2 linked regions of the Zea mays genome follow. The protein of the gene in region 2 interacts with the protein of the main gene of each other region in a pairwise test. Links are inferred from orthologs where the notes say so. Each region holds a gene or a part of one and is shown on either strand. Other genes may lie near its edges. The genes, in order: transcription factor BHLH42 and protein TRANSPARENT TESTA GLABRA 1.

What was found.
Region 1: the proteins of protein TRANSPARENT TESTA GLABRA 1 (region 2) and transcription factor BHLH42 interact in binary tests that used the Arabidopsis thaliana proteins (3 or more experiments, as listed by UniProt). The link is inferred for Zea mays from reciprocal best matches to the Arabidopsis thaliana genes TTG1 and TT8.

Annotation. Positions count from the first base shown.
Region 1 is NC_050102.1:19,933,134-19,937,729, reverse strand, and holds the start of transcription factor BHLH42, read right to left. Parts: upstream 2,914-4,596; 5' UTR 2,769-2,913; coding exon 2,659-2,768; intron 2,547-2,658; coding exon 2,205-2,546; intron 965-2,204; coding exon 868-964; intron 16-867; coding exon 1-15. UniProt on the Arabidopsis thaliana protein: Transcription activator, when associated with MYB75/PAP1 or MYB90/PAP2. Involved in the control of flavonoid pigmentation. Plays a key role in regulating leucoanthocyanidin reductase (BANYULS) and dihydroflavonol-4-reductase (DFR).
Region 2 is NC_050100.1:204,509,238-204,513,740, forward strand, and holds the start of protein TRANSPARENT TESTA GLABRA 1, read right to left. Parts: upstream 2,933-4,503; 5' UTR 2,729-2,932; coding exon 1,667-2,728; 3' UTR 1,663-1,666; intron 1-1,662. Other genes in the region: pale aleurone color 1, read right to left, coding at 3,907-4,056.

The sequences.
Region 1 (4,596 bases), on a different chromosome or scaffold from region 2:
CTGTATACCTGCACTCTGATATTTGTTGCCACCAACATTTTTGATGTTCCACATGAAAAGCGTAATAAATGGAGAATTAGTTAGTACCTTCAATTCTCTATCATGGGGCAAAGAAGGGAATAATACTTTTGGATATCGATAAACAATTATTTGAGCTTCATACTCATATCTTGAAAGGAAAACAATGTTTTTAAGTTCAACTACAATCATAAGCTTATATTTTGTCATGCGTAGCTAACTACTCCCTCCGTTCTAAACTATAGGATGTTTTAAGTTTTTTTAGATATAATACTTTTATTGTATATCTAGATATAGACTATATATCTAAATACATAATAAGGTTATATATCTAGAAAAGACAGAACGAATTATAATTTGAAATAGAATAGGTATATGTTCATTAAGGTTATTTCTTTTCAAATTTATCCTTTTTCTAAAATCACTATAATTTTCACACACTGCAAACTACTCACTAGCTAGGGTCAAAAAGTGCTTTGACTTTGTTCAGTTTTTTTTTTTGCATAGTCTTGTGGGTGCAATTTTAACAAATATATATATATTTTCTATTGAAATATAGATGTGACAGCCCGTCCAAAATCTGTTCGAACGAGGAAGAGCCTGCATATACATAGCATCTCTATTATATATTCTTTCACATTTTATGTAAGAGAGGGTTAATAATCTACAGGTGCTATGTTTCAAAAAAAACGATAGTAAAACTAATTTTGTTGCATCACAATTCACAACACATGGGCCACAGTATGATGTTATTGAATGTGCCAAGTATATTTGCGACTAGAAGAGTACCAAACATTTTTTTAAAAAAAAAAAGAGATAGAAGAGAATGGAGACGGTATGCGTACGTACCCTAGCGAGAATTGCTCTTGAGAACACCTTGCTGTCAGCTTTGTTTGCACCACATAGCCACACATGAGCTCTCCTTACAAACGCCTCCCCGGGCAACCTGAAACGTGGAAGCACTACACATGTATATGACTTATACATGGAAGCTTCTCTCTTGTTACAACAACGAAAAAAAGAACATTATCTGTTTGTTATATGAAATTAAATGTTTGTGCTTTGACATTCGATAATTCATTGATGCATGCTGCATCAGCTATCCGGCTGATTGGATGGTTGAGCACAACAAACCAGGCGGATGCGAGCCTGGTCGGCTAGGTACGCCAATTTTGGCAGTATGAGTGGATGCAACTAAATAGCCTTAAAATATCTTGTTTTGCATCCACATATGCAACCCGTGTCTCTCGCGTATAGACAACCAAATAGAAGCTCGCACAAAGTCAATTGCACGCGGTGGTTCAGGATAAGACGATGCGAATAACGAATTAGACGATATATGATAATGTCAAACTAAGAAACGGGCTCTATAGTAATATGAAGAGACATTAGAGTAAATAAAATAGGACGGGACAACTGTTTTTGAATGTCATGTACGTATATATAATAGCTCAAAAAAGGTGGAAATAATAATTATCTTAGGAGTTTACTGGTAAGAAAAAACAATAATGTCGCCAAAAAAACATGTGTTCCGGTAATTTTCTATGATGGCCTTTTTGTATAATAGTTTACTGGTAAGATTTAGCTCGCCAGCAAGGACAATAATGGGTTTGTTTGGTTCAGTTTTTTCTGATCAGTTTTTTTGAGAATCTGGTTGTAGAGAGAATCTGGCTGTGGGAAAGATCTGAGTATCGTGGGATTACGTGCGGAGGAAAATGAAATGGTTCAAAGGGTTCAAGATCTAGATAGCGATGGAATTTATCGTGACGACTCGATCGATTATGTATTTATGTTGATTTTGAATGGTTTTTAGCGATTTTTATAGAAACAGACTGAAAAGCTGGGACGTTTGCTAATCCGCGGCAGCTTTTTATTGCCAAAAACTAAAAATTGCCCAAACAAACAGGGTCAATATTTAGAGGATCGTTGGTACATGCGGTGCTTATTAGAAGGAACGAACATTTGGTTCATCATCACCTGTGAAACAACATGCATGAGAAAAAAAAAGTATTAGTAAATATAGAACAGCATAGAGAGCCGGTCTATTTATTTGCATATCTTACACGTGGAGACCTTGAGCTCGATCGTTCGTTCCCTGTGCTGTGCTGTGCTGTGCTTCATTCTGTAGATACGTGAGGTAGCATGCAAAGCAAAGCATGTATGTATATAGGCTATAGCCGGTTTACCCGACGGCAGGAGGGAAGCAGTAGGAGGCGCACATGAGGTAGAACCACTCCGTCTCCGTCAGGTCCTCGGGCGCCAGCGCGGCGACGGGCCGGCGAGGCGGCGGCACCACCGCCACCTGCTGCTGGTGCTGCTGCTGTGGGTCGCCGACTCCTCCACCACCGTCGTAAGCGGCCTCCCCCGCCGCCAGCGAGTCGTAGAGCTCCTTGAGCTGCCGGCTGCGGCGCAGCGCCGTCTCCTCGTCCCCGGCGTCCTCCGCGCCCGCCGGCTGACGCACTGTCGTCATCGTCGTCTTGCGCGTCCTGATGGCGCCGTTGTAGTAGCCCTCCGCCCAGACCAGCGCGCTGATGAGCAGGGCCATGCATGCATGCGTGATCAGATCGGTTAGTCAGACAGCGCTTTAGCAAGGACGAGAGTTGGGACGGCGATGGAGCAGCAGGCAGGAAGAAGGCGTACCCTTGGCGCGGGCAGAGGCGCCAGAGGAGGCTGTACGTCCACCCCGTGCTCTGCGCCACCGACTGCAGCGCCTTCTGCGCGGCCTCGCCTCCGCTGCCGCCGGCCGCCATGGCTGGGATGGCTGCCTGCTGCTGCTGCTGCTGTGCTGTGTGCTGCTTCAGTGATCGAGCGCGTGAGCGAGTTGGTGAGGGTCGTCTGAGGCTTTGAGGAGGGAAAGGAGGGCAATGTACAACGCGTTGACTGACTGGTGGTGGTGGCTGGGCTTTGAGGAGGGGAGGGGATGGGAGGGGAAGGAGCGCGCGCCGCCAACTCATGCACCGTACCAAATCGCGAGGGCACGTGGGGTGGGGTGGGGAGGGGAAGGAGGAGGTCGGTCGGGGTAGCGCAAGTAGGTGCATGTGAAAGGAATTTGTTGGTTGGATCCGTCTGTTTAGTACTCCATACGGTGTCGTTTTATAGGAAACCAAACTTGTTTTTTAAGCTCAAGTTTATTCTAAATGGGAATCTCGTCGCACTCTTTCCAGCACTATCTTAGAGCATGTACAAACCTGAGCACTATCTTAGACAGCATGATACAATCCTAAGACCTACATCTTAAATACAGATAAAAGACACATTGTATGGAAAGTTGTGAAGAGACGGACTCTTCGCGAAGTGCTTGTCTCTTGTATTTTTTTCACTTAGCCCATTAGAGACCACTCAAGAGACTCCATATTAAATGGGTTGTACATGTCTTTATAGACTAACATATCAATTAAATACCGCAGCTCAATAACCAATAGAAGTTAGTAAAAAATATGTGAAGTGAAACAGATCACTATCAATAAAGGGTTCATACAGTTTTCAAGACCTTGGAAACCAGCCGACGTGGTTTCATCCCAATAAAACTCAATCCTCTTAGGGCATGTACAATAGGTATCTTAAGATGTATCTTAAAGTGTGTCTAGGGGGGTGAATGTGAAAAAACTTAAGACATTTATCTTGACGAAGACACAGTGTCTTAGCTCTATGTTCGAGACAGGAGACTAGCTGATTGATCACTTTAATTTATTGAATGCTCTGATTGGTACAATGAATATGGTAAGACACATGTTTTAGACATGACCATTGTATTATGTTGTGTTTTAGTTGTATCCTATATTTGGAGTACCGTACAACAGTGTCTAGGTTGTACATGCCCTTAAATACTATGTCATGTCATCAAAAATATTTAATGTGGCATATTATTAAATGGTTCCTTTAGTCGCTCTCCTAAACATGACTAAAATGTAGTCCCTAGAAATCCTATTTGGAATACTTATTTTAGTCGAAGTAGGAACCAAACACTCCAACTAGATGTACGGGCAATGCAAACAGAGGACCTTGACATCGTCCTGGTGAACACTCATTGACAGGCGCTCGTTGGCAGTGATGTTTCTCTCTGCAACAGTACGCTGTGTTGTGGTGATGTATAAAGCCTAGCTAGTTGTTATCACCTTTTTGCACGTACACGTACGGCCTAGCACGTACTGTTTTCTTTTTACCTGTGTACTGTATCACCTACTACCACAGTAGTAGCTAGCTAGCTCCAACCACTTGCTGTTTTTCCTGAATTCTGGGGCTGCACTGCTTCCACCCTCATCCTTCCATCCTGGGATACATTGCCAGTCTCCACAGCATCCCATTTCCGTCAGGCAGGCAGCCGGTGCCTTCTGATCCCAGATCTGTGCACAAACTGAAACCAGCAAGCAACTTTCTCTTGCCTCCATCTCGTCCCTTGGACTTCAAACTGGACGCGCAAACGGATTAACAAAAATGGCGAATGACTTCACAGTTAATGGAGATTTGTTAAGCCATTCCTGGATGATGGGTGATCATCGGTTCATCAACTAGGGTGACAGAGAGAGAGAGAGAGAGAGAGAGAGAGAGAGAGAGAGAGAGAGAGAGAGAGAGAGGAGA
Region 2 (4,503 bases):
GACATGAAAGCCATGGTGGCGAACTTTAGATTGGTTAGTCTTACACCAGATGATGGGAAGTGCATCTCCGTAGACCATAGACACAAGACTTGCTGGCACTATTGGGTACCTTGCGCCAGAGTATGCAGGTGAACATTCTATATTTTCTTACCAAGTTCATAGATGCCATGTTCAATTCAGTTGACAATCTAGCACATTACATCTAACCTACAACTACCTGTAATAATATCATTTAAGGGTTAAATATTAATAGCTTTCATGTGGAATGATTTCATTTCAAAGACCAAGCAGTCAAACACAATACATAAATGCATAATAATATAATGAAAACTTGCATATTACCATATTTCCTCTAAAAATGGCAATTTTGTAGTGATGATTATATTGTAGAAATCAGCTAACTTACTACTGTATTTTTCTTCCCTGGACCCTGGTGCATGTGCACACCCTTATAATTTGGCATCGCTCCTATGTGTAAGTACGTACTATTGGTACTTCGTACTTTAACCTTGAAAAAAAAAAGTTTGGTCTTCTCTAAGACTAGAAATTTATTGATTCTGTGCATGGAACTCAGCTCCTACATACCACATCAATGTAATATAACATTTAGACTGCTCATTCTATTATATTTTCAGTCTGAACTATCCTGATACTATAAACAATTATAAATTTAGAAATTTTAGCGCTTCTATGTGTATATATGTACATATACATGTTTGAAACTACACAATTCTATATCTTTTATAAACATATCAAGCAACACCTTGCGCGGAGCGCGAGCAATTTACTAGTTGACATTATGTTTAACCTATTTATGGAACCATTTACCTTCATTCAGCTAGCACAACACTAGCCTGAACTTCCTTGGTGAAAACTGGACCTTTTTCTCAAGTTCACAAAAAGAGTGTTCAATTCAGGACTGCATGTTTGCATTGGAAAGTGATAACATAGATCACCAATTATATATCGATTTAGCTTAAGTTCCAAGGAATTTTCAAATAAAGACGAACTTATTCTAAATTCCTCATACATGCATTTACTAAATACTGTATTTAGCACTTATAATCAGCACATACAGAAAAAGAAAGCAGCTCGTGTCCTTGTGGATAATTCATAATAGATGCGCAAAAAATAGCAACTTCCAGGCTTCATAGGACTAAAAAAATTAGGTTACCATATATGGTAATACTGACAGAGTTAGCTCTGTATGAATCTTCAGTAAAGTTGTACAATTACACTACCTCATGCCAATGTGTAACAATGTGCGTGATAGTCTTTATACCCCTTTTGGATGTAGATGTTCAAGACTGGAATTGGAAATAGGAATTCTAAATTCTGCTGTTTGGCTGGCTAAAGAATTCAGAGCTGGAATTAAAGTTCAATTCCTTGGAATTGAACTTTAACTAAAAAGTGTCTCTCACAATTCAGATCCAAGATTCTAGGTATTGTATGGAATTGCAATTCCAGATACACCCAAACAACATATTTGTATTGAACCTCATTTCCAATACTAGACAGATAAGGTATTGGATCTAATTCAATACCAACATCTCCAATATCTACATCCAAACAGACCCTTAGTTAAATCTAAATTTATTGACATAATCAACAGAAACTATATAGAAATGAAAGCATCAAACCAAAGATCACCATGATACCAACCTTGTCAGACCCTAAGAAGCTGGACCTTGTTCTCAAAGGCGATGGCCATCCAGTCCGGGTGCGCGGCCGCCCACTGAAGTTGGTTTATTTCGGCGCCTGCATCGTACACTAGCACAGGATCAATCCCCTCGGCGGGTACAGCCGCCGCCGTCTCAGGCAGTTCCCAGATCAATGCTTGCCCGTCGTCCCCAGCCGAACAGAGGTGCCTAGTGGCTTGCGGCGCCCACGCGACTGCGTTGGCGCACGCCCGGTGCCGGTGCAGCTCGGCCACCGGCACCCCGGGCGCACGTATGTCGAGCACGACGACGGCGCTGCTGTCCATGAGCAGCGCGGCCATATAGCGGAGGTCAGAGCGGTTCCACGCCAGCCTTAGTAGCGGCGTGTCGGGGCGGGGGCTCTCGTAGACGATGGTGGAGTGCTCCTTGTCCCGAAGGTCGAAGACGCGGACGGAGCCGTCGGCCGATACGGAGGCGAAGACCCCGGCCTCCCCCCAGGCGATGTCGTGCACGGCCTTGTCGTGCGCGATGAGCTGCGTCTCCACGACCCCGCGATCGATGTCCCAGACGGTGCAGGTGGTGTCGATGGAGGCGGTCCCGATACGGCGGGGCTCGACCTCGTTCCAATCGAAGGAGGTGAGGGGTGCGCAGAACTCGGAGGAGGCCTTGCGGTTGTCGAGAACGGAGCGGAGCTCGGGCGCGGGGGCGGTGTCGGAGAGGTCGTCGAGCGGGGTGTGCCAGATGCGGAGCGTGTCGGCGGAGGAGGCGAGGAGGGACGGCGCGGCGGCGCGGGGGTTGAACTGGAGCTTGGTGGGTGGGTAAGGGTGGTCGAAGGAGAGCGCCGGGAGGGCGCGGAAGGAGGCGGCGGAGGGGCGGACGGGGTCGAAGGAGAGCAGGGAGACGCGGTTGTGGAGGTCCTCGAGGAAGCTGCCGGAGGCGAGGACGGGCGCGACGGGGGAGAAGGCGAGCGCGTAGATCGAGTGCGGGAGCTCGCAGGTGAAGGCGTGCGGGTTCGGCGTCTCCGGCCCCGACGACGAGGCGACCGAGGACGGCGGCTTGGGTGGGTCCATTGAGTGGAGAATTCGGGTCGATAGATGTGGGGGCGAAGCTGCGCGGGGGCCGATCCTGCTGGGACTTGAGAGGTGATAAAAGGAGCGACGCGCGCGTGCGAGCGGTAGGTAAACGGCGGCCGGGCACGGGGGTTGAACGATGCGGGCGGCGGCTCGCCGGGCTGAGGACTGAGGTTGTGCCGTTGTGGTAGAAGTGGAACTGGAACGTGGGATGACGTGGGTAGAGTTTACCAAAAACCAGTAGTCAACGAAAACGGTTTACCTCTAGGAAACCGACGGTTTTTGCTAAAACTGAACGATTTAAATTTTAAATTAAAAAACTTTCGAAAATCTGTAAATCAACAAATCAGTAAATAGTTAAAACCCGGTTTTCGTCAGTTTCTAAATTTTTCGACCGGTTTATATTCTTCAAATTAAACAAAAAAATGCTGATTAATTTTTTACCGGTTTTTCGTTGTTTTTACAAAAATGCTGATTAATTTTAAAAAAATAAAATTAAATATAAGATGTACCAGGAGAACACGTGGTTATATCATATTTTTTATTTTTTTATAAAAAAAATAAAAAAATACGTTTTGGACGAATTTTTAAAAGTCGACTCGAAAACGTTACCGATAATGGGAATCTCGACCGGTTTTTGTAATCCTTCCCGGCGACGAGTCAGCCGTCGTCTGGTCAAAGTTTGTTGCCCATGTCACCGGATCCCTGGTCAGGTCATTTCGTGGACTGGGAATCTTTGGTTCGTTTCTAGCGCCGGGGACATGAGTTCGTCGACGTCGACTCCATGGTTCATTTCTAGCGCCGGGGACATGCGCATCTCATCCTGGCAGGATGCGCATGCTCAGATAACTTTGATGAAGAGCACGTAATCGACGAATAACAACAACACATCCTTCACGATATTCGATAAGGCTTGGGCAACAAACAGGCATAAGAAGCATACAACATTAAGCGAAACAAACCACATGATGAGCATAAATTAACATCAGAGCCACTTAAATAGAGCACGTTTCTCTATTACTAAAGCAGATAGGTGTACAAGAAACCTGAGTCTATAGGCAGACTTTTTTTTTGAATAACCAAGCATCAAATGTCATTGTATTCCGACAAGTCAAAAAACTCATGGCGACATTACTCTCACGAGCGATCTTCGAAACCATCTCCTTATTCATGTGATCTTAGCGCTGGGAAGTGAACAATGCGCGGCTGACAATACCAGTGGCCTCAATGTAGCGGTCAACACAACGTGATATGCAGCTGCTCTCGCTTCCACTCAAGCTTGATCCTGGCTTGGTCACGCACTTTTCAAAGCACTTGTTCCCGACGGTCTGCAAGACAGATCAACACCACCTGTGAGCTTAAGAAATTTCACCATATGAAATGGCAGGAATTTCCTAGATTCATCCTTTTGCGCTTTCGTGTGTAATCTTTGTTTATTTAAGTTTGTAGAGGCAATCAGCATCATCCTATTTGTTTTTTAATAAAAACTTGGCAACATGTGGAAAAAAGACTGGCAATTTCCTAGATACATCGTGTTGTCCCCTCAGGGCTGTGAATCTTCCAAGGCAACTAAATAGTTTTTAAATTCGCTCATGTGACCCCCAAAGAAGAACTAGTCAATTGTTCGGGCTCAACACATTGCACGTGACCCAAGGCGAAAAATTAATACTGGTGGCACAGAAACAAGGAAGAAACTTCCAATATAATTGGCTAATTGCATGTATACTGCTTGTTATGTCATCGTTTCAGGCTGAAAGCACCGCCTCAACAAAAAA